Linked DNA regions of Elephas maximus indicus. The protein of the gene in region 2 purifies or fractionates together with the protein of the main gene of each other region. This does not show direct contact. Links are inferred from orthologs where the notes say so. Each region holds a gene or a part of one and is shown on either strand. Other genes may lie near its edges. The genes, in order: RPRD1B and RPRD2.

Region 1 (12,181 bases), on a different chromosome or scaffold from region 2:
TCTAAGTCTGAACATACGGATAGGAAGACTGGGTTTAGATCTCAGAGACAAGAGTTCAGCCATAAGAATTGCCAACACAAGTTCTTGAATGGGAAGAAGAGAACTGATATTTGTTGGAAAAAACCTACCATATGCAAGGCAATGTGCTACTGCTAGGTATTTTGTGGATATAAATTTCTTACCCACAGCTGAGTAACCCAAGGCTCAGAGAGGTTAAGATGCCCAAGGTCACACAGCAATCAGGTGTTACATGGATTCATCTCAAGCCTGTCTGACTCCAAGGGCTATATGTACTCTTTCAAAAGTTCCAAACCTGTTTATCAGAATCAAGAAGAAACCATTTAAATATAGATTCCTGGGCCCACACCAGATCTACTGAATCAGAATCAGTATTTGAGGCGAGGGGGTGTCATGGTTGGGTCTATGATTTTAAAATTTCACAAGGTCAGTCTGACGACCAGTCAGGTTTGAGAATCCTGCACTATATACACTCTACATACACACATACTCTCGCTCTGGAGCAAGAGTCATTGATGAAAGACGTACATGCTCAATAACCCATCTGGTAGTAGCGTTCACAGTGAGCTGGAGGACTACTGTCTTGGGGTAAAATTATTTTGTCTCTCCAACCAAATGGTACACTGCTTAACTGCTGCAGCCTTATTTGTGGTTTCCCCAGCATCTGGTGCAGTGTCTGCCAAGCAGTTCCCACTCACTAAATATTTATTTAATAAACAAGTAAAAGAAGATAGATAAACATTAAACCTTTGGCATACCCTGAAGTTTTGTTGCTTCCTAGCCATCCCTCCTTCTACTTAGAAATGTTTCCTTTGCATATTCTAGGAGCCATACATTGTGCTAAGCTCTTAAGAGGGAAGGGAGATACAAAGTTAAGCAGAGGGTCTAGGCCTGCAAGGAGGAGGGCACTGCAGAACAGTAAATGCATATGACAGAATACGGAGGAGGGGAATCAGGAGACTTCCCATAAAGCCTTCCAGTCCTAGTTCCCCTCCCCTGTCTTGTGAGAACTAGGTTATTCTAGGCTCACTTAGTACTGTTTACAGCTCTCCTCTATAGAAGGCTTGTGACACTGCCTTGTATTAAACTTATACCATGTACCTGTCCCCTTAGACCAGAGGCTCTTTGGGAGGCAGTATATTCTACAACAGTGGTTCTTAACCAAAGGTGTACATCACAATACATATGATAGCTCTCTCCCCTTCTCTGCCATCTTTGTGTGTATGGCTGCCTCCCATCCTCACCAGGTCTTCTCAGAAGACTCTCAGGGTCAAGAGATTCCTGGCCAAGAAACAGAGGCAGAATTGTCCCATTCCCCAGTGGATTTGAATGAAAACTGGTAATAAAATCAGGCATGACTCCAACAAGAGACACTGGAGAAGAACCAACCTGGGTCTATAAGGGTCACACGTGATGGCACACAGAGTTACGCTCTATCAAGTTCACTAGCATCTTACCATATCAAGTGGAAAATTCCACCACTATCTGAACAATTGAACATGTTGTACTGGGAAAATTCTAGTTTCTTCCTTTGTTCTTATGCTTTGGCATTAATATGTTGATTCAGTAATAAATATGTGTGACCTTTTATTTGGAAAAAAAAAAAACACATATGATAGTGCTGTCCCCACCCCCAAATTATGCCCTGGCACTGGAAATCGAAATAAACTCTCTAGGACACATGTATCTATATAAAATAAACAGAGGACTTCCGCTTCCAGGAAGATGGAGTAGATGTACTTTTTCCTATCTTCCCACTAAGTACAACTAAAAACACTGGATGTTATATGGAAAACAAACCTAAGACTCTAAAATGTGGGAAGAAAATAAATTGGCTAGGGGCCTCAGGACCGAGAAATAACCTGGTGGTGAGTTCCCTGGGCTTATTTTTACCTCATATATCTCAGGCTTGGAACTGAAGAAGCTGGAAACCCCAAACACCAACAGGTGCAGACAAAAGAAGCCCCCCCAAAAGCCTTCCCTTTCTAGCCAAAGGACCAGGAAAGCACAGCCTAGCAAGACAGAAAACATTTAGACAGTAACTGGTTTACTTCAGCCAAACACCACAGAAATAAACGGCAGGCTCACCCCAATCTGTACCAAAAAAGGCTCAGTGCAGAATGTAGACTTCTACCTTCATGCAGCTATAATGAGGTGCCCCAACACCCCCGCCGAGGTGGTGCCAGAGAAGGCACAGGGACCCTCACCCCCACCACCACTGCAGTATCAGTGAAGACCACATGAGGAGTCAGAACACCCACCTCTGCCCAGCAGTAACAAGAAGCCCCCTTCACCTTGGGTGTCAGTAGAGGGTGGGTGGAGAACCTGAACTTCCACCTCCACCTGGCAGTAATGAGGCCCCCTTTCCGCTACTGGAGCAGTGCCAGAGAAAACCAGCTAAAACGGGAGGTTTAAATAAGAGCCAGAATCTCAACAAAACACAAAAATGTCCAGGTTTCAACTGAAAATCATTCATCATACAAGAACAAAGAAGATCCCAAAATGAATGAAAAAAAGACAATCAATAGATGTCAACACCAAGACAACAGAGATGTTAGAATTCTCTGACAAAAATATTACAGACGCTATGATTAAAACTCTTCAATAAACAATCATGAACATGCTTGTAACAAATGAAAAAACAGAAAACCTCAGTGAAGAAACAAAAGATATAAAGAACCAAATAGAAATTTTAGAACTAAAGAATACAGTAACACAAAAAAGCTCAGTGACAAAGTCAACAGCAGAATGGAGGGCACGGTGGAAGGGATCAGTGAACTGGAAGACAGAACAATAGAGATTGCCCAATCTGAACATGACAGAAAACATAAACTGAAAAGCCAAACAAACGCAGAGTCTCGAAGACCCGTGAGGCTCAAATGAAAGATCTAAGAGTTCTCAGAGCAGAAAAGAAGGCTGGCTGAGAAAAGTACTTGAAGAAAAAATGGCTGAAAGCTTCCCAAATTTGGAAAGAGATGTAAACCTATAGATTCATGAAGATTTGTGAGCCCCAAACAGGATAAACTCCCAGAAATCACTATCAATACACTTCATAATTAAATTTCTGAAAACTAAAGACAAAGTCCTGAAAGCAGCCAGAAAAAAATGACATCTAATAGGGGCAAAACAATTTGAATGACAGTACTTTTATCATTAGAAATCATTTAGGCCAGAGGGAAGTGGCACAATATTTTTCAGGTACTTAAACAAAAAAAAAAAAAACTGTCAATCCAGAATTCTATACCCAGCAAAAATGTTCATCAGAAATGAAGAGGAAATCAAGACATTTCCAGATGTCTAAAAGATAAGGGAATACTATAAATAACTTTATACACATAACCGACCACTAAGAGACAGAGCAAATGGGCAAACTCCTTGAAAAATACAAATTACTATAACTCACACAATATGAGATGGAATACCTGAATAACCATATTAACTATTATCAGTACCAGTTGCTGTCAGTTCGGACTCATGGCAACTCACGTGTGTCAGAGTAGAACTGTGCTGTATAGGGTTTTCAATCGTTGATTTTTCAAAAGTAGAGCAACAGGCCTTTCTTCTGATGCACCTCTAAACCAAAACCAATCCCACTGCTTTGAGTCAATTCAAACTCATAATGACCCTAAAGGGCAGAGTAGAATTGCCCCATACGGTTTCCAAGGAGCGCCTGGTGGATTTGAACTGACAAACCTTTGGTTAGCAGCTGTAGCACTTAACCACTATGCCACCAGGGTTTCCGATTCAGACATAGGTGCTCAAAATTTATTTGCTGAATGAATGAATGAACCAGTGGCTCAGGAATGAAGAATCTGGGATCACACATCAGATAATCTTAATCTGACTCTTGGCTCTGCCATTTCCTAGCTGTGTACTCTCGGATGGGTTACTTAACCACGCTTTATGTTTTCTCATTTATCAAATAATAACCCCATCCTATAGGCTATAAGGATTAAATATACGTAATGTACTTAATACACAGTGACTTGGTGTAAAAGCTCTCAATACGTGATTGTTACAGTATAGAATCGTGTATAGATTTGGATTCAAAAATCCTAGCTTACAATTATGACTAGTTACTGTCTGATTTTAGGCTACCCACTTCTATATTAATTCATTCAATCAGCTATGACTCAAGTGCTGGGGACAAAGGGATCGATAAAATGCAGTCCCTACCCTCAAATCTTAGTTATGTGATTTTGGGCAGGTCACTTAAAATGGGGATAATACAATACCTACCTCAGAGCTTTACTGTGAGAATTAAATGAGTTACTATGTGTAAACACAGTGTCTGGCACACAGCAAGCGCTCACTAAGTGTTAGGTACGATTATGATGATTCTAATCCGGAGAAAAAGTCCTGGTGGAGCAGTGGTTACGAGCTCAGCTGCTATAACCCAAGGGTTGGTGGTTCGAATGTACCAGCTGCTCCGTGGGAGAAAGATGCGGCAATCTGCTTCCATAAAGATTACAGGCTTGTAACATTTAGGATATTCTACTGGTCTCACCCCTTCCGGAGCAAGGAAGAATGAAGAAAACTAAAGGAACAAGGGAAAGATTAGTCCAGAGGACTAAGGGACTACAACTACCACAGCCTCCACTAGACTGAGGCCAGTACAACTAGATGGTGCCCAGCTACCGTCACTAACTGCTCCGACAGGGATCACAAGAGAGGGTCCCGAACAGAGCTGGAGAAAAATATAGAATAAAATTTTAACTCAAAAAGAAAGACCAAACTTACTGGCCTGACAGAGACTGGAGAAACCCTGAGTGTATGGCCCCCAGACATGCTTTCAACTCAGCTCAGTAATGAAGACATTCTTGACATTCACCCTTCTGCCAAAGATTGGACAGGCCCATAAAAACAAAACAAGACTAAAGGGGCACACCAGCCCAGGGGCAAGGACTAAAAGGCAGGAGGGGACAGGAAACCTGGTAACAAGGAACCTAAGGTTGAGAAGGGAGAGTGTTAACATGTCGTGGGGTTGTTAACCAATGTCATAAAACAGTATGTGTACTGTCTAATGAGAAACTTATTTGTTTTGTAAGCCTTCATCTAAAGGACAAAAAAAAAATTACAGGCTGGAAACCCTAAGTGGCAGTTCTACTCTGTCCTATAGGTCACTGAGTCAGAATCAACTCGACAGCAACATGTTTAGTATGGAAAAGGGATAAAGGCATTTAAGCAAAGAACTACAATACAGTGACAGTAAGAGCAAAAAACAGAGGCACCAACTAGAAGAAAGTCTCCTAAACTGCGGTCTGCCCACAACTGTGAAGTTCCACGGTGATCAAGAAAACCTTAACCTGAGAGTATGGCACCTGGACACCCTTTTAGGTCAGTAACGAAGTCACTCCTGAGGTTCACCCTTCAGTCAAAGATTAGACAGGCCCATAAAACAAAACGAGACCAAAGGGGCACACCAGCCCAGAGGTAACGATTAGAAGGCAGGAGGTAACAATAGGGAACCCAAGGTTGAAAAGAGAGGGTGTGGTGGGGTTGTAAGTGAATGTCACAAAACAACATGTGTACTGTTTAATAAGAAGCTAGTTTGTTCTTAAATCTTCATCTAAAACACAATTAAAAAAAAAGGAAAACCTTAAAATTCTGCTATGTCTATGATAACTGTTATAGATTGAATTTTGTCCCCCCAAAATGTGTGTCAACTTAGCGAAGCTATGAGTCCCTGTATTATGTGGTTGTCTTCCATTTTGTGATCTGATGTAATTATCCTATGTGTTGTAAATCCTAACCTCTATAGGATTGGAGGAAGTTATGTCAACCAGGCAGGACACAATCTACATGATTAGGTTATATCTGGAGTCAATCTTTTGAGATATAAAAGAGAGAATTGAGCAGAGAGGGACCTCATTACCATCAAGAAAGATGAGCTAGGAGCAAAGCACGTCCTTTGGACTGGGGTTCCTTGTGCTAAGACGCTCCTACACCAAAGGAAGATTGATGACAAGGACCTTACCCCAGAGCTGACAGACAGAAAGCCTTCCAACCTGGAGTTGGTGCCCTGAATTCAGACTTCTAGCCTCCTGAATTGTGAGAGAATAAATTTGCTTGTTAAAGTCATCTACTTGCGGTATTTCTGTTATGGCAGCACTAGATAACTAAGGCAGTAACCTCTCTACTCCCCCAGAGTAATTACAAAGACAAACTACTTTGCTGCTTTCACTGGAATTTAAAGCTTTAAAAAAATTGAGTAAGAATTCTTGAAGAGTGTTTCTTAAAGGAGGCTGACAGACACAGCGGGAAGGTAAGATAATTTCCCTTCCCCACCAAAGGTTAACATATTAAAGCTGAAAAACGTCAATTGGATGGTGAACCCCAGTGGGCAAAGGTTTCCTGTAACTGCCTAAACGAAGCAACCAATTAGAAGTCGAGAGCACAAGGTGTGTTTCATGGCAGTGCTGTCACAAAGGGACAGAATCGGACATTAAAGAGTGGGTCCTGGCGGCTGAGTAGGTGAGAAAGACGGCGTCACCTTTGGAGAGAGAAAAACAAAAGCCGAGGCGCGGAAGGGTGAAAGCGCACGTGCGTGGCTTGGAGGAATCAAAGCTTTTTAAGCGGCGGTCACAGTGCTGGACATGTACAGAGAGAAAGTGCGGCCTGGGGCTTGGCGGGTGAAAGAAGAAACCCTCCCTCCATACCTAGGCCATGATCCCTCAGCCTTGGTGTCCCCACAAGGCCCCTCTCCGGAACCCACTCGGCTGGGCTCCCAGCGGCTCTCGCCCCTCTTCCCTTACCTCGTCTTCTAGTCTTTCCCTTACTCTCCCTCCTCCTCCGCCCCGACGGAAGTGACGTTATAACGAATGCGCCGCACAGCGCTAGAAAGGTTCCGCGGGCGCGGGAGACAGGGTTCCGGCGGTACTCAGTGCGCCGGCGTACGGGCGCGAGCGGTTACAGCGCCTTCCGGGAGCCGAGAAACAGATTCCTCTCGCCGGGTTTATCGCCTTCGAAGTGCCCTGAGCAACGTTCGGAGAGGCTGCCGGTCCTGGAAAGACTTTTCTCTACAGCTCCGGACGCCTCTGGGTGCCCAACTACTCCGGCTCTTGCCCCTTGACCCTGCTCTCGCGGCGGGGTGAGAGGTCGGGTGGCCATCTTGTGGCGGCTGCGCGGGCGGCTGTTACTGCGGTGACCCATCCCCTCCTCCCACCTACCACCCGAGTCATCTGTCAGTCAGTAAAGAGTCCGGCAGTCTGTCAGGTGAGGCCTCGGCCTCGTGCCGTCGCTCTTCCTGCCGCACTGGGCGGCCCAGGCCGCTCCCTGCCGGCCCTCACCGTCGCCGCCATGTCCTCCTTCTCCGAGTCAGCTCTAGAGAAGAAGCTCTCGGAGCTGAGCAACTCTCAGCAGAGCGTGCAGACCCTGTCCCTGTGGCTCATTCACCACCGCAAGCACGCGGGGCCCATCGTCTCGGTGTGGCACCGCGAGCTCCGCAAAGGTAAACACCCCTTCCCCGCCCCCTTGGCTCAATCCCGGATTGTTCTCTCCCCCACCTTCTCCCTAGGCTCCTCTACTGCTTAATTGAGTCTTGCCTTCCAGACACGGGCTTCTGAGGCTGGAGATAGTGTTATCCCCATTTCTCGGAGAGGGAAACTGAGGCCCAGGAAAGTGTAAGGCATTTGTCCGAGGTCCCACTGACCAGGGCCCAGCTACCCAGACTCCCAGTTCATTAAGCCTTTCCCCCCGCAGAATTTTCTTCACACTTTTAAATGTTACTTTCTCGGCTGCCTTCAGCGCCCGATGGAGGGTACTGGCGCCAGCCTGTTAAATATGCCAGGTTCTGTGCTGGGCATTCAGAGTAACAGTCGGCAGGCTCAGGAGTCAAGCTGCCTAGATGGAGCCTGGCCCAACCACTTGCTAGCTGAGTGATGTTGGGCTCTCTTTGCCTTCATTTCCTCATCCATAAAACGGAGGCAAGCTTAGCTGTGACTTACAGAGCCTTTATTCTGTGCCAGCCACTATGCTAAGATCTTTATATATGTCCTTGTGCTCAGTCCTCAGAACAGCATTTTAGAGAGTTTAAGGGGCCACATCACTAGCCCTTACCTCTCAGGACCCTCCTTTCATGCAGCTGCCATAGTTTCCAGACCCTGCTCAAGATCACTGAGCTCAGCCTAGTACTGGGTTGGGCACTTGACGGTATGTTAGCCCCACAGCCTAAGAGCTTGGAATCTAAGCCTGGCTTTGCCACTTACTAATACGAATAACTTAACCCTCCTTGTCTCTCTGTTTCCTTAATTCTCAGAGTCCTATGAAGTAGGAGGAGCCCTGGTGGCACAGTGGTTAAGGATTAGGCTGTTAACCAAAAGGTTGGCAGTTCAAATCTACCAGCCACTCCTTGGAAACCTATGGGGCAGTTCTTCTCTGTCCTGTATGGTCCCAATGAGTTGAAATCAACTTGACGGCGATGGGTTATGAAGTAGGAAGTGGCTTGGTGGCGCAGTGGTTAAGAGCTATGGTTGCTAACCAAAAAGGCAGGCAGTTTGAATCTACCATCCTCTCCTTGGAAACCCTTTGGAGTGGTTCTACTCAGTCCTGTAGGGTTGCTATGAGTTGGAATCGACTCCGTGGCAATGTTTGTTTTTTTTTTTTTTAAATAAAGTAGGATCTTTGCAGATGAGGAAAAACTGATGCTGAAACAACAACTTGTGGTGAGCGGTAAACAAAATAATCCAGATGAGCATTTAGTGTGGTGTCAGACACAGTGAAGGCATTTGGTTAATTGTGGTGAGATGGGACTGTTGATTATTCAGTGTGAGGCAGAGTCCTCGTCTTAAGTTGCTTACAGTTGGTGGGGAAAGGTGGACACCTACACCTCTGATACCCCAGTGAGTGCCATAACAGAAGGATGAGGAGATGGTACGGGCGCTTAAGAGTTATACTGGACAGCCTAGACAGCAGAGAAAGTGACTTTACCTGTGTTCTCTACTACCTGTGAGGTGGAGGGTATCTCCCCACTTTACAGATGAGGAAACTGAAGCTCAGAGTGGCTAAGTGGTATTTCCGAGGCCTTAGAGCTGGTGAGACTATGTCAGGTTGGCAAGCTCCAAAACCCAAATTTTGGAGCCTCCCCGGCCCCAGCAGACTCAGTTCTAGCCTACTAGCAGAGACTCCAGAATATCATGGCCTGTACGGGATCCCCTCAGCCCTCTGGGCACTGGGGTAGAGCCTGGGGCTGCCAGAGCCTCCTTCATGTAACTTGTGCTGAGATGTGGCAAACGTGTATTGCCTCAGCAGGATCGTGTTAGGTAGCATTTCAGTCCATCTCAAATAGCCACATGTGGCTTGTGGCTACCATATTGGACAGTGCAGAACTAGAGGAAGCTCCATCCAGGCATCAAGATGCAACTTCCTAATACGCAGGCTTGCTTTGTGAATTGAAAATGCCCTCACACTAAAGTGGAAAAGGATTTTCTGTTCTAATGTTCAAACTGACTGGCCTTTTAGATTCTAGGCCACCCTGATTCTTTAAGAAGTGGACATTTCTGTTTATGGTCATTTTCTTTATGTAAGTTTTTCACTGACTGACTCTGAGTTGCTTTCAAAATATTTACCAGACTTCCAGAAATCACTGTTTCTCACTTAAACGCGCCTTCTATTCCTGATGTGTTACTTTCTTTCCAGTTTCCTAGGAAGAATTCTTAATTTATTCCTTTGGGCTCAGTTCTAAGTCGAATGTCTCTTGTTCTTCATGAAGTAGTTTGGTGCAGAATGGTCTTAGATGAACATATTTTAATGGTGTTTTTGTATCCTAGCCTGAATGCAGATACATAGGCTTTTTTCCAAAATTACCGTAAAACTTTCTTTAGATGTCAAAACAACCACCCAAGTGAAAATTTTTGGTCAGCCAGTTGTTTATACTTTGCTCAACAACTAGTTCAACCAATTTGGAATGAGCATAAGTAGGAGAATGAAAGGACCTCTTTTGTCATATTGAAAAGACGTCTGAACGAGTGAGTTGTCACCCAGGGCTGGAGTGGAGGAATGTGGTGTATGTGTTGTGTGTATTATGAATGCATGAGTTCAAGTGCTCTAGTGCTTTGTTGTATCACCTTTACATACACAGTGTTTATGTTGACGGTTACATGCTAGATGTGGAGGAGTAAGGGTTTTTTTAATAGATAAATTTAATTTAAGAAAGTAGATAATTCTCAGTCAAAAATCAAAATGGCATAGAAAGCTGTACATTAAAAGATGTCACTGCTTCCCATGTCCATGTCTATCCTATTCCCACTCCACACATACCCTGTTTGTAACCACTTTTATTATATTCCTATGTCCTTCCAGCAGGGTTTTTTAATTGTTAAAAAAAAAAAAAAAAAATTACACATAGGGTTGCTGTGAGTCGGAATCAACTTGATGGCAACAAGTTTGATTTTATCTCTCTGTAAAATACATTTGCCAATTCAACATTTTCAGTTATACAATTTAGTGATATCAGTTACATTAATCATGTTCTACAACCATAATTTTTTGTTGATGGAGGGATAAAGTTTTATCCTAAATAAATCCCCTTCATTAAGTTTGGGGATGATGGAAATTAATTGACATTGTAGATGGTGAAAAACCTGACTCTAGTCAGATACTGTATTTGTAATACAAAAAAAGTATGAGGTTTTGAATGGCCAAATTAACTTTTTACAATATGGATTTCTGGATTTTTTTTTTTTTTTTGTAGTTTATTGTGCTTTAAGCGAAAGTTTATAAATCAAGTCAGTCTCTCATACAAAAACGTACATATACCTTGCTATGTACTCCTCGCTGCTCTCCACCTAAGGAGACAGCATACTTCTCTCCACCCTGTGTTTCCCGTAACCATTCAACCAGCTCCTGTCCCCTCTGCCTTTTCATCTCGCCTCTAGACAAGAGCTGCCTGCATAGTCTCATGTGTCTACTTGAGCCAAGAAACTCACTTCTCACCAGTATCATTTTCTGTCTTATAGTCCAGTCCAATTCTTGTCTGAAGAGTTGGCTTTGGGAATGGTTCCAGTCTTGGGCTAACAAAAGGTCCGGGGACCGTGACCTGCAGGGACCCTCTAGTCTCAGTCAGACCATTAAGTCTGGTCTTTTTACGAGAATTTGAGGTCTGCATCCCGCTGTTCTCCTTCCTACTCCATCAGGGATTCTCTGCTGTCAGGGCGGTCATCCGTTGTAGCCAGGCACCATCTAGTTCTTGGATTCTGGATTTTTTAAGATGAAGTATATGGAATTTACGAAATTTCACTTAGTCAGATTTGCTTTGTTAAAACTTTTTTTTTTTCTTAATCCAGTAGCTTTCATGGCATTATGAACTTGATGTTTTGAATTACTACAACTTCTCAGAACAAGGTTTGCTTTTTTTTTTTTTTTTTTTTAAAGTCTTTGCCATAATCATACCTTTGTAGCAATGGTGGGCTATTTTAACTAGTGACACTTTTGTTCTGCTTTTGAATAACAATTAGAACAGTGCAAGATAGCTCCGTGTTCCCAATATTCTCATCGAGTTCCCAATATTCTCATCGGTTGGCCATCTAAACTAGGTTACCAGAAGGTTAATACAATACAGGGTATCCATTTTTAATATTATGAGCACTTTTTAAGACATCAATTTAAACTATGATATCCCTTAAAAAATCTTGATTTTTACTTGGGTTATTCTCATGCAGCTACTAGCTACATTTTAAAATGTCAGCTCTTATGCCTGCTGTGTCAGAACTTACACATGCTATGTGCATTTCAGAAGAAACAGAAAAGTGGTTTCTGAGAGAAACGGAGCAGGGACTAGTTATTCAGGTGTGTAAAGACTGACATGGATCTCGCTTGAGTTTTTCAGGTAGTTTTACATTTGAAAAAACTAGGTGTTTTGAAAGATCTAATTTAAGTTTTTATTTACTTCTTTTCAAAGAAAACTAGGACCAAAAAGGGTGGTGATGCACCTTTATGATTGAGAAGTTATGTGCATAGAAGCCAGGACATTCAGTAATGTTCCCCCAAGCAACTGTAACTCAGACATATTGCATGAGGTTTTTATGTTTTGATATATGATACCATATAGAGTAATAAGAAATACTATATCTGGTATGTATAAGAGAGAAGAATTATGGTTTTTGTGGGAGTCATAATTTTGAATATCCGGATTTCAGATGTGTGCAAATTTTTGATACTGATATAG
Region 2 (12,604 bases):
TAGCGACCTCATGTACAACAGAACCAAACACTGCCTGGTCCTGTGCCATCCTCACAGTCGTTATGTCTGAGCCCATAGTTGCAACCACTGTGTCACTCCATCTTTTTGAGGGCCTTCCTCTTTTTCTCTGGCCCTCTACTTTACCAAGCATGATGTCTTTCTCCAGAGATGAGTACCTTCTGATAAGAAGTCCAAAGTATGTGCAATGAAGTCTTACCATCCTTGCTTCCAAAGAGCACTCTGGTTTCCGAGACAGATGTGTTTGTTCTTCTGGTAGTCTATGATATATTCAATATTCTTCACCAATACCATAATCCAAAGACATAAATTGTTCTTTGGTCTTTCTTATTCATTGTCCACCACTGCTTGAGTCAGGCACACCTTAGTCTTGAAGATGACATCTTTGCTTTTCAACACTTTAAAGAGGTCTTTTGCAGCAGATTTGCCCAATGCAATGTGTCTTTTGATTTCTTGACTGCTGCTTCCATGAGTGTTGACTGTGGATCCAAGTGAAGTGAAATCCTTGACAGCTTCAATCTTTTCTCCATTTATCATGATGTGGTAATTGGTCCAGTTGTGAGGATCTTTGTTTTCTTTATGTTGAGGTGCAATCCATACTGAAGGCTGTGGTCTTTGATCTTCATCAGTAAGTGCTTCAAGTCCTCTTCACTTTGAGCAAGCAAGGTTGTGTCATCTGCATAACGCAGGTAGTTAGTGAGTCTTCCTCCAATCCTGATACCCCGTTGTTCTTCATATAGTCCAGCTTTTTGGATTATTTGCTCAGCATACGAATTGAATAGGTATGGTAAAATGATACAACCCTTATGCACACCTTTCTTGATTTTAAACCACTCGGTATCTTCTTGTTCTCTCCGAACAACTGCCTCTTGATCTACAGATTCCTTATAAGCACCATTAGGTGTTCTGGTCAATGATGTAATTATATATATATATATATATATATATATATATATATATATATATATATATATATATATATATATATAAAATTAATATCGGAGCCCTAGTAATGCAGTGGTTAAGAGCTTGGGTGCTAACCAAAAGGTCAGCAGTTCAAATCCACCAGTCGCTCCCTGAAAACCCTGTGGGGCAGTTCTACTCTTTCTTATAGGGGCAGTATGAGTTGGAATCGACTCAACGGCAACAGGGTGGTTTAGTTTTGGTTTATCATTAATATCACACGCAAGTAAAATTTTTCTGAAGATAATCCAAAAATGGTTCCAGCAGTACATCGACAGAGAACTTCCAGAAATTCAAGCTGGATTCAGAAGATGACATGGAATGAGGGATATGATGTGAGAAGGATCTTGGCTGAAAGCAGAGAATACCAGAAAGAGGTTTACCTGTGTTTTATTTACTGTGTGAAGGCATTCAACTGTGTGGATTGTATCAAATTATGGATAACGTTGTGAAGAATGAGAATTCCAGAACACTTAATTGTGGTCATGGGGAAAATGTGATGTATTGTAAGAATCCTAGTACCTGTCTCAGTTATCTAGTATTGCTATAACAGAAATACCACAAGTTGATGGCTTTGACAAAGAGAAATTTATTCTCCTACGAATCCGCCAGGTGCTCCTTGGAAACTCTATGGGGCAGTTCTACTCTGTCCTATAGGGTCGCTATGAGTCGGAATCGACTTGACGGCACTGGGTTTGGGTACAGTCTAGGAGGCTAACAGTCTGTATTCAGGTGGCAGCTCCAGAGGAAGGCTCTCTGTCTCTATTAGCTTTGGGGTGGATCCTTGTCATCAATCTTCTCCTAATCTAGAAGCGTCTCAGCACAGGCACCCTGGGTCCAGAGGATGTGTTCTGCTCCCTGCACTGCTTTCAAGGTGGTATGAGGTTCCCCTGTCTCTCTGCTGGTTTTCTTCACTTATATCTCAGAAGACATTGATTTAAGACACAACCTAATCTTGTAAATTGAGTCCTGCCTAATTAACATAACTGCTTCATTAATATCATAGAGGTAGGATTTACAACACATAGGAAAATCACATCAGATGACAAAATGGTTGACAATCACACAATACTGGGAATCACGGCCTAGCCAAGTAGACACACATTTTTGGGGGGGACACAATTCAATCCACGACAGTACCCCACATCCACTAAAAATGTTATAATGGAGTTCACCTCATTCTGCTGAAATGGCATATGCAACTTTTGCCTCAAATCTTTAATATTATTAAAAAAAAAAACAAAAACCCAGTGCCATAGTCACATTTAAAAAGACGTTACATCATGGATAGCTAAGACACCCACGCATACATGTTATATATAAAATATGTGTATATATAACTTATATATCCCATTCAAACGTAAGTAAGCAGAGGAGGGGTACCACAGATTATCAGCGTTTAGTGCCTTAATCGGGCCCTGATGGTGAAGAAATATTTATATGGTTACCGTGCTAGGAGACCCTGGTGGCTTAGTGGTTAAGTGCTATAGCGTTACGTGCTCCTTGGAAACTCTACAGGGCAGTTCTACTCTGTCCTATAGGGTCACTATGAGTCGGAATTGACTAGACAGCGCAGGGTTTGGTTTTTTGGTGTTAGAAAACCCTGGTGGCATAGTGGTTTAGTGTTAGGGCTGCTAACCAAAAGATCGGCAGTTCAAATCCACCAGGTGGTCCTTGGAAACTCTATGGGGCAGTTCTACTCTGTCCTATAGGGTCACCGTAAGTTGAAATCAACTGGACAGCAACGGGCTCATGGGTGTTAGCATTTAATTGACTCAGTGGCAACGGGTTTGGTGGTTTGGTATTAGCATTAAAAAAGTAACTCCTGAGAATTTGGCTCTTTACCCATTTGTAGCTTTGAGACCTCTTGAAACCAAAATCAAGGAAGAACCCGGGCTTTTTCATTAAATTACGAGGTAATGGGTTAGCTATTGACTACCCTTTTTTACCTCAAAAAGACGAATGTACAATGTTGCAGAAAAGTTCCTGGTGAAAAAAAAGTCCATACTTTTGCAGTTTGGATGAGCCTGTTGTGGTTAATTTTTGGACTAGTGGGTAGGAGAAACCTTTTAAAATCAAAGTAAGATGTCTATTGTTAATTTTTTTCTTTCTCTTCACTAAGTCCCAGAGGGAAGGGATTTTGTCTGGTTTGCTCTCTGCATCTAGAACAGTACTTGGCACAAAGATGTGCAACAACTTTTTGTTGAATTAGTGAATGACCTGTTAAAAAATCCCCTGCTGTTGAGTTGATTCTGACTCAAAGTGAACCTACAGGAGCGGAAACTGTCCCATAGGGTTTTCAAGAAGTGGCTGATGAATTCAAACTGCTGACCTTTTTGCTTATTACTAGGGGAAACCCTAGTGGTGTAGTGGTTAAGAGTTACAGTTGCTAACCAAAAAGTTGGCAGTTCGAATCTACCAGGTGCTCCTCGGAAACCATACTGGACAGTTACATTCTGTCCTATAGCCTCACTCTGAGTTGGAATTAACTTGACAGCAACCAGTTTTTTTGTTTTGGTTATGCCACCAGGGCTCCGAATTAGTGAATACTAGATATGATGAGGAAACCCTGGTGGCGTAGTGATTAAGTGCTATGGCTGCTAACCAAAAGGTCGGCAGTTCAAATCCGCCAGGTGCTCCTTGGAAACTCTACGGGGCAGTTCTATTCTGTCCTATAGGGTCACTATGAGTTGGAATCGACTCGACGGCAGTGGGTTTGGTATTTTTCTTTGGTTAGATATGAGTTGGAATCCACTAGAGGGCAACGTTTTTTTTTTTTTAAGATACGAATTGGAGGAGCCCTGGTCGCTGAGTGGTTTAAGTGCTGAGCTGCTAACTGCCTGGTTTAAATCCACTAGCCTGCTCCATGGCAGAAAATGTGACAGTTTCTGTAAAGATTTACGGGCTTAGAAACCCTATGGGGCAGCTCTACTCTAGCCTATATGGTCGCTATGAGTTGGAATCCACTGGATGTCAATGGGTTTTTTTGCGGGGGGGGGCTTAAATATGAATTTAACAGATTCCCTGCCTAAAGAAACATGAGAGTCTAGTGTGGAGACATACAAAAAATTAAAACACAATAATTGCAGATGTTCAGTGGGAACATAAGAAAACCAGTGCCCCTTAATCAACTCCTACTCACTCATGTGTTCCATTTGGTTTTCAATAGCTCATTTTTCAGAAGTAGATCTCCAAGCCTTTCTTAGACTGTGCCTCTGGGTGGACTCAAACCTTCAACCTATTAGTTAGAGGCTGAGCTCATTGACTTTTTTTTTTTTTTTTAACAACAGCCAGCATTTATTCAGCACTTACATTAGGTGAGCTTTTCTTCTCATAATACCAGTGGGTTAGTTATTATCTTATCGATTCCATTTTACAGATTTAGTAGGGGAAAACTGAGGAAACTAGCATTTAGAAGGCTGAATAAGAGATCTAAAGCCACATAGGTCTTCAGGATCAGTGCCAAGATGTAGCTCCCAAGACTAGGTTCTTAACCCTTTGTAGGGATGCCCTCTAAGTTTCTTTGCTATAATTAGGTGGTGTTTACATAAAGCATTATTAATGACTTAAACCATGTGAGTTATGAATTTTAACTGTTCCTGATTCGTTAAAAATTCCAGGTCAGTCACAGATTCTCTTTGTGACTCAGAAGCAAATTCTAGTTTCTGGTTGCACAAAACCAAATTGGGAATAAAAAAATTACATACAAAAATTTGGGGAATATTTTAATCCATTAAAAAAAAATCAGTTGTTTTAAGTTCATGATTTTAATGTTGATTTGACCTTTTCCCAATATAACTTGTGAAGGCTTTTAAATCTGCATATTCTACTGATAGCTTTTCAGCAAGTGTAGTATGAGCTCATATGAGCTTATATGAGTGTATTCGTTAGAACGTTTTTGAAACAAGTAATAGAAAAATCCAACTTTAGTTCAAACCATGAAAGGGAATTGTTGGCACATGTATCTTAGACAGTTCAGTTCAGTAGTAAAGTAAAAAACCAGTTGCCGTCAATTCTGACTCATGGCGACCCCATGTGTGTCCGAGTAGAACTGTGTGCCATAGGGTTTTCAATGTCTGATTTTTCAGAAGTAGATTGCCAGGCCTTTCTTTTTTATTTTTTATAATTTTTAGTGTGCTTTAAGTGAAAGTTTACAAATCAAGTCAGTCTCTCATACAAAAACCCATATACACCTTGCTACACACTCCCAATTACTCTCCCCCTAATGAGACAGCCCGCTCTCTCCCTCCACTCTCTCTTTTAGTGTCCATTTCGCCAGCTTCTAACTCCCTCCACCCTCTCATCTCCCTTCCAGGCAGGAGATGCCAACCTAGTCTCAAGTGTCCACCTGATCCAAGAAGCTCACTCCTCACCAGCATCCCTCTCCAACCCATTGTCCAGTCCAGTCCATGGCTTCGGGAATGGTTCCTGTCCTGGGGCAACAGAAGGTCTGGTGGCCATGACCACCGGGGTCCTTCCATTAAGTCTGGTCTTATGAGAATTTGAGCTCATTGACTATTTGCAACAGACGCGGACTCCAGTGGAAACACAAGAGCACCAATTCTGCTCAGAGAAGTTTACATATGCAGATACAAGGGAAGCTTATTCTGAAGTTGTTCTAAACGGTATCAGACTAAGATTCTTGAAAACTATAATGTATCATGCAATTATGAGACTGTATTATAATTGGCAAAAAGCGAGGTCACATCTTGTCTTTTATCCTTTCCTCGTTTCAAAAACTTTAGGGGAAATGTTTCACTTTATTCTTCCTACAATCCAAACGGTCAAGTGACTGTGAATGGTATAGTCCAAAGGGGAGTGCGAAATATCGTTTGGTCTAGGAGACGGCGTAATGAATGCGCGATGAAGTGGCGCATGCGCATCATCTGAGGCGCCGCAAGATGGCTGGCAGTCGCTTTGCCCTGTGTCGTTGCTCCGTGGAGTTAGCAGAGGCGGGGCCTGCAGCTGCCGGACAATAACAGTAGCTGCTAAACAGTGGGGGCCCTGTCCCGTGAGCTGAACAGCCTCGAGAAAGTGATCCCGCCAGGGAGCAAAAGACGGGGAGGAGTGGTGGAGCCCCTCCCCGAAGCCGCTCCTCAACTTGACCAACTCCCTTTACCCTTCCCTCCCGGCTTTTTCTCCCTGCCCGCTTGCTACTCACTGAGCTGCTGCGCAGGCGCACAAATACTCGCAGCGCCACCTTTGCCTTTGGTGTTTGCGGGCTACTGCGCGCGCTTCTCCTTCTTCTTCTTTGATTGGTCAGATTGCCCCGCCATCACGTCTTCTGTTTTCTAGGTTGAGAAGGAAGCGGGGGTGTAGAGGTGGGGCCAAGCAGCGCGTGCGCTATACTGTTGCTGTCCTTTTGCGGCTGTTGCGTTGCAAAAAAAATCCTGACTAGGTAGCCTTGGGCCTTTTCTGTGCTTGGGGATCTAAAGGAGAAAGATTTCTCTAGCTGAGAGGGGCCACTCGGGTAGTATTGAATTTGAGATACTAACGCCCGCCCCTACTCACAGGATTATGGGGATAGGGGTGGGGAAGGTCCTTAATGTTGAGAGTCGAAGAATATAAAACCATTAGTTTCGAGGCCAGGCGTTTGGAAAGGCTTTGCAGGACCTGTTTTCTGCGTAATTCTTCCGTGATTACTGACTGGTTTAAACACGACCCCTTGAACAATATTGATAAACCTTCGAAACCTGCAGCCCCTCCTTGCAGCGTGTAGGAGCCGCCAGCGTGCCCAGCAGCTGGTCCTCCGGTCCGCACCTCCGGAAGAACCTAGCGCGTGCACCGTCCCCACCCCCTGGCCTCCCTCCCCACCTACGGCTTTCACGCACTCGCAGTGATTGTTTTGCCCGCTCCCGCCGCTGCCGCCGTCGCCGCCGCCGCCTCCGCCGCCGCCGCCGCCGGAGGAGCAGCAGCGCTTGTGCAAACCGGGAAGATGGCGGCCGGCGGCGGCGGAGGCAGCAGTAAGGCCTCCTCCTCGTCGGCCTCTTCGGCAGGGGCTCTGGAGTCCTCGTTGGATCGAAAATTCCAGTCGGTAACCAACACTATGGAATCCATTCAAGGCTTGTCGTCTTGGTGTATAGAGAACAAGAAACACCACAGTACTATCGTCTACCATTGGATGAAGTGGCTTCGGAGATGTGAGTGTTGGGGGGTGACTGGGAAGGGAAGACTGGGGAAATGGAAGGAGATACTACTGTCCGAAACGCTTGGGCTTTTCCCACGGAGCCGCTGCATTCGGTTGGGGTGGTTCACATTCAAGCTTGGACCCGAGTGTTCCCAAGCCCAGACTCCATTCCTAGTCAGGGTTTTCCTAAACTGCAGGAGGCTCGTTTCTTGAATTTTTTAGCTTCTGGCTTGGTGTGACCTTGGGCACTTGGGCCCAGATCCATAGCGATTTCCGTATTCTTTGAGATCTTTGTAAGGTGTGCCGTTGACTTTACTGAACCTTCACGGAAATTGTCGCGTCCGTTTATTTCTTGAAGGCCTTGACGTGTTAATAATTTCTGAGTTTTTTGATGAGAGAAAAGCTATGGTTTAAGCGGTAGTAAATTCACCTACCACTCTATTTTCCTCTGGTCTAAAACTTGTGATGTGTGATAAGGAAGGCCTTACCTGCTTGAATGTTAAGAAAAACCAACACGAGCTCCAAATAGGGCTGAGGTGACCACCTAGGAAGTTAAATACAGGTTTTTCATAACTGACCAGAAACAACTGCAATACTATAGTCACTATCATTACTAATACTTTTACATTTTAGTGTAAACCGTATCAGCTACTTTTTATTAATCTTAAATTCCTTTTTTAGACATTGAAATTAATTTCATAGGTAAAACAGGATATGTGCTTTTAGAGTATATAGTACTTTTTTTTTTTTTCCAGTTAACACTTTTTTTGTCTTCATCGTGGAATTTTTTTCCCCTTTGCTGCTTTACTACAGAAAAGAGGTCTATTAAGCTGTCAGGAAACATGGATCGTTTGCAGAAGATTTCAGATCTTACAGGAGGGAAGTGTGGAGAAGTCACTGTGCTTCCTGCTGAGAAGAGAGCATTAACCCTAACTCCATATATATCTATTTGAATTTGATATCTTTAACTGCTTCCTGTCTATGGCTTGTCACCAGTGAGGCACATCATCCACTTATTCTTGCCCCTGTAGTGTTTTGATTTGTGTTTACCTTTCAAGGAACAGATGGATAAAGCTCGCAAAACTGTAGGCCCCCCTTTGATTTGTGTTTAAGGTTATTGTTGGGAGAGAGATTTTGTAGTTCTTGGACTAATAATGCTGAACAATTAGTAGAGCCAAGACAGAACTACCTGTTTTTATCAATATAGCACGTATATACTTTCTTGGTAATAGGTAAAATTAGAACATGCGATATCAAATAAAGATAGTCCTAATCACAATCATCATCAAAGACTCACATATTATCTGCCATGTGCCGAGTCCTTTATTGTCATTTAACATATACATCTATCTCATTATTCCGTAAAATAACCGTGAGAAGTAGATTTTTTAATCACCAATTGAAAGATGAGGAAACTAAGGCTCAGAAATGTTAAGTTGCTTAAGGTTACACCATAAAATGGTGGGATCAGAATTTGACTCCATCAATTAGATGACAGTGGTCACATTTACCTTTGTAAAACAGTGTTTTCACCATTATTTTTTAATAATCTTAGTACGTTAATATACTTGGTTTTCTAATGGTAGCAGGTAGTGCTGATGTGAGCCTGAGAACATATTCTCCATCCTGTTTTAAAACATCTTTACTAAATTATACAAACGTTTAACATTTCTTACCTTTGGTCTCTGGTGCATTAACTATGTGGTTACAGTATTTGCAAGAATGATTTGGTCCCCATCTCTTTAGTGGGATCACCAGTGACAATTACAGTAATTTTTTGCTGGTTAGAAATAATAGTGAGATACACTGAAGCCAATTTTCCCCCTTGTGCTGTTGTTGATATTGTGCTTGAGCTTATTTCCCTTGTTGATATCTTAAGAGTGAAAAATGATTGATCTAGGAAGGCAGTCATTCATTTGAAGTGCATTCTGTATAGTTTCTATAGTTACATGCTTTTGGCTTTCTAAAATTCTGTGTTTTCCTGGTAGGGTGGAATTTAACTTCCTAAAATCGTTATTTTAAAGGGTAATTTATAGTGGTTTGTATTTCCATTTAATGAACATTATCTGCCTCATTGTATATAAAGCCTTTTGAGAGAAGTATTCTGGGGAGTGGCAAAAGGGCAGAGAGAAAATAATTTATGCATTGGGCCTCATTTTCATTTAAGTTTATATTTCATTTACAGTTGGATTTATTTTAGTTTGAGTCTGGTTTCTAAGTTAACTTTAGGGAAAATTGTGAAATAAGTATCTTGGGCATTCCCAGCCTTTCTGTCCGTTTTTCTGGTGCCACTTTGTCTTCTCTTTTTTTCCTTCTGACATCCATTATTTAGTAACTTATATTTAGACCTCAGTGTGAATTTAAGTAACTGTGTTAACTCTTCGGGAGGTATTTTCATTTAACCTTTATTTCATAATGTGTAATAAGAGATCTTTGTTCACTTTGAAGGAAATAATTTAGAGAAGGCCAGTAGTCTCCCTGAACTTATACTTGATGGGTGGGTTCTACTGATATTATTCTTTTAATTTGCTTAGGTGAAGCATTCATTACCGTTATTTTCTACAAAGATCTTTCAGTAGCATAAACAGATGTCATTCCTATGCTTTAAAACTCTCCAGTGATGTCTCATTGCAACAGGGTTCAAATCTAAACTTCTTTTATCAGAGTCTGCAAGATTGTACACTTCAGACTTCATCTCCTGCCTTTTCATTCAGGTCTGAGTTCAGATAACACCTCCTCAGAGAGGCCTTCCGTAATCACCTTATTTCAAGTGGTTGGTTTAATTACTCTTTTATGTATCACCTCAGTTTTAGTATGTGGAATTACCTCATTTTTTTGTTTACATTTTTATCGTTTGTCTTTCTCGACTGTCTTGTTCACTGCTGTATCCTCAAGCAACTAGAATAGTGCTAGTCACACGGTATGCAATCGGTAAATATTTGCCAATGTTATTTTGTTAAAATAGTTAATCAAGAACTTGAAGAACAGAATTGTTTTGATTTCTGCTTATTGGAAGGAGACATTTATAACTTAGTGGAAGAAATGATTGGCATGGTTGTCAGCAGGTTCAGGATATGGCTCTTATATGGACATGATGTTTAATTTGGCAAGGTTATCATTTCTATACTTTATTCCTTTCTCTCGTTTTTAGTGTACAATGGGAATCGTTATGGAAAAGTGGAAATACACAGATTTTACACTTAAGACCTAGGTTCGGATCTTAACTCTATCACTTAATACCTAGGTGACACTACATCTGATTTATGTAAGCCTCATTTGTGAGTAAAGATAGTAATTATATCTTGTAGGATTACTTTCTAGATTAAAGAAGGTAGTGTATATATTTTAGCATAGGGCACATGGAAAGCGTTCAGATTGTTTATAGTGACAGTGATGATGATGTGGATACAAGTAGTCGTAAGATCCTGAGTATTTAAAATAATTGTAGAAGAACTTTGTTTTGGGTACCCGTACCTGTTGCTGTCTTGTGGATTCCATTTCACAGTGGCCCTATAGGACAGAGTAGACTGCCTCATAAGAGGTTCCAAGGAGTGTCTGGTAGATTCAAACTGCCGACCTTTTGGTTCGCAGCTGAGCTCTTAACCACTGTGCCACCAGGGCTTCTGTTTGGGAAGTGCTGGAAATTATGTTCCCAGTCAGTAGCAGTTGAGTTGGACTGATATCTCTGTTATGAATCAGCAAGTGCTCGGAAGAGCTAGTAGGATAAAATGGAAAATAACATGTTCGTAACACCTCCATTTTGTCTTGTTTCTAACCATTGAATGGGTTGGTCTGTTTTAGAAGATTATATGAGAATTTAAGTGAGTTTTTTCAGGGGGGGAAGCAGTTAATGTCGAGTTGATTCCAACCCATGATGACCCATGTGTGTCAGAGTAGAACTGTGTTCCATAGAGTTTTCAGTGGGTGGTTTTTCAGAAGTAGATAACCAGGCCCTTCTTCTAAATTTGAAGGAAAGGAAGAGGGAAGTAAGGAAAAATTGTTGTTGGGTGCTGTAGAGTCGATTTCAACTCATAGTGAGCCACGCAACAGAGTAGAACGGCCCTATAGGGCTTTCTTGGCTGTAATCTTATGGAACAGATCCTCAGGTCTTTCTCCCGTAGAGCCGCTGGGTGGGTTCAAACTGCCAGCCTTTCAGTTAGCAGCTGAGCACTTAACCATATGCGCCACCAGGGCACAAAGGAAAGTGGAAGAGTAATTGCATATCAGTTAAAGAGCAGAAAATCTGTTAAAATTTCCCTCCACCTCTTTTTGGTACAAACTTCAAATATGTACAAAAATCAAAAAGTAATGACACCCCCTCTTCTACCGATCATATCACTTCAATAGTTATCAACTTCATGGACAAACATTTTTCATCTGTCCCATATATTCTCTCCCCACCACATTACTTTGAAGCAAATCTAAGTACAATCTGGTATTTTTTCCATAAGAGAGACTGTTATGTGAACCTGGACTAGAAAAAAAGTTCTTCATACAAGATTTATTTGTTGCAGAGAATTTGCAAAGTGCAGTTACCATTTTTGACCTATGACAATGGCTTCTCAGTTTGGATCTCAGGATCCTTAGGTGGACCATGAAGGTGGTAATAATTTTACAGCTAATTTTTGTTGAGAGCTTACTGTGTGCCAGGCGCTAGTCTAGTAATTTTACATGTATTAATTCATTTAATCTTCACAACAACTCGCTGAAGTACTATTATGACCCCCATTTTACAGATAAGAAAACAGAGGCACCAGGCGGCTAAGTAACTTACTCATGGTTGCAGTGGTGGAGCTAGGATTCAAACCCGTGCATTCTGGATCTAGAGTGTGTGCATTCCTAGCCACGACACTGTACAGCTTCTCCTACTCATAAAATATTTTCTACAGTGCAGAGAACTTAAAATTAGGTAGCTTTAATGAGATAAAATCCACAAATATAAATTTTAACCCATTTAAAATGTACAATTCAGTTGTTTTTAGTGCATTCACAGAGTTTTGCAGCAGTCACCACAGAGTGTCTGTTTAGTGTATAGATTGTGTTTAGAGCCATGAGGCTGAAGGAGATCAACTAGGGAGTAAAACCAGAAAACCAAAACCATTGCCGTCAGGTGGATTCCGACTTACAGCAGCCCTAAAAGACAAAGTAGAACTGCCCGGTAGGGTTTCCAAGGAGCCTGGTGGATTCTAATTGCTGACCTTTTGGTTACCAGCTGCAGCTCTTAACCACTATGCCTTCAGGGTTTCTAGCTAGGGAGTGAGTGTAGTTAAAGAAGTGTAGTAAGATTGAGTAGTAGGTGTAGATAGAGAAGAGGTCCAGAGAGAAGGCTCTGGGGCCTTTTGGTATTTTTAGAGACCTTTTTCTGCTTACGTGATCTAGCATGTTCTTGGCTTAGGTTCTTTTTGAAGTCCAAGCTAAACCTTATCTCAGCTTACCAAAGAAGTCATACATCTGTTTTGATCTTTTGCCTATTTCTAGTCTTCATTTAGGCTTAAT

Evidence for each region.
Region 1: the proteins of RPRD2 (region 2) and RPRD1B purify together in Homo sapiens (affinity purification with mass spectrometry; 4 studies listed by BioGRID and IntAct, counting the BioPlex papers as one, with this or other methods). This does not show direct contact. The link is inferred for Elephas maximus indicus from reciprocal best matches to the Homo sapiens genes RPRD2 and RPRD1B.

Annotation. Positions count from the first base shown.
Region 1 is NC_064843.1:31,481,405-31,493,585, reverse strand, and holds the start of RPRD1B (regulation of nuclear pre-mRNA domain-containing protein 1B), read left to right. Parts: upstream 1-6,915; 5' UTR 6,916-7,317; coding exon 7,318-7,468; intron 7,469-12,181. UniProt on the Homo sapiens protein: Interacts with phosphorylated C-terminal heptapeptide repeat domain (CTD) of the largest RNA polymerase II subunit POLR2A, and participates in dephosphorylation of the CTD by RPAP2. Transcriptional regulator which enhances expression of CCND1.
Region 2 is NC_064821.1:184,491,068-184,503,671, forward strand, and holds the start of RPRD2 (regulation of nuclear pre-mRNA domain-containing protein 2), read left to right. Parts: upstream 1-6,317; 5' UTR 6,318-6,916; coding exon 6,917-7,121; intron 7,122-12,604.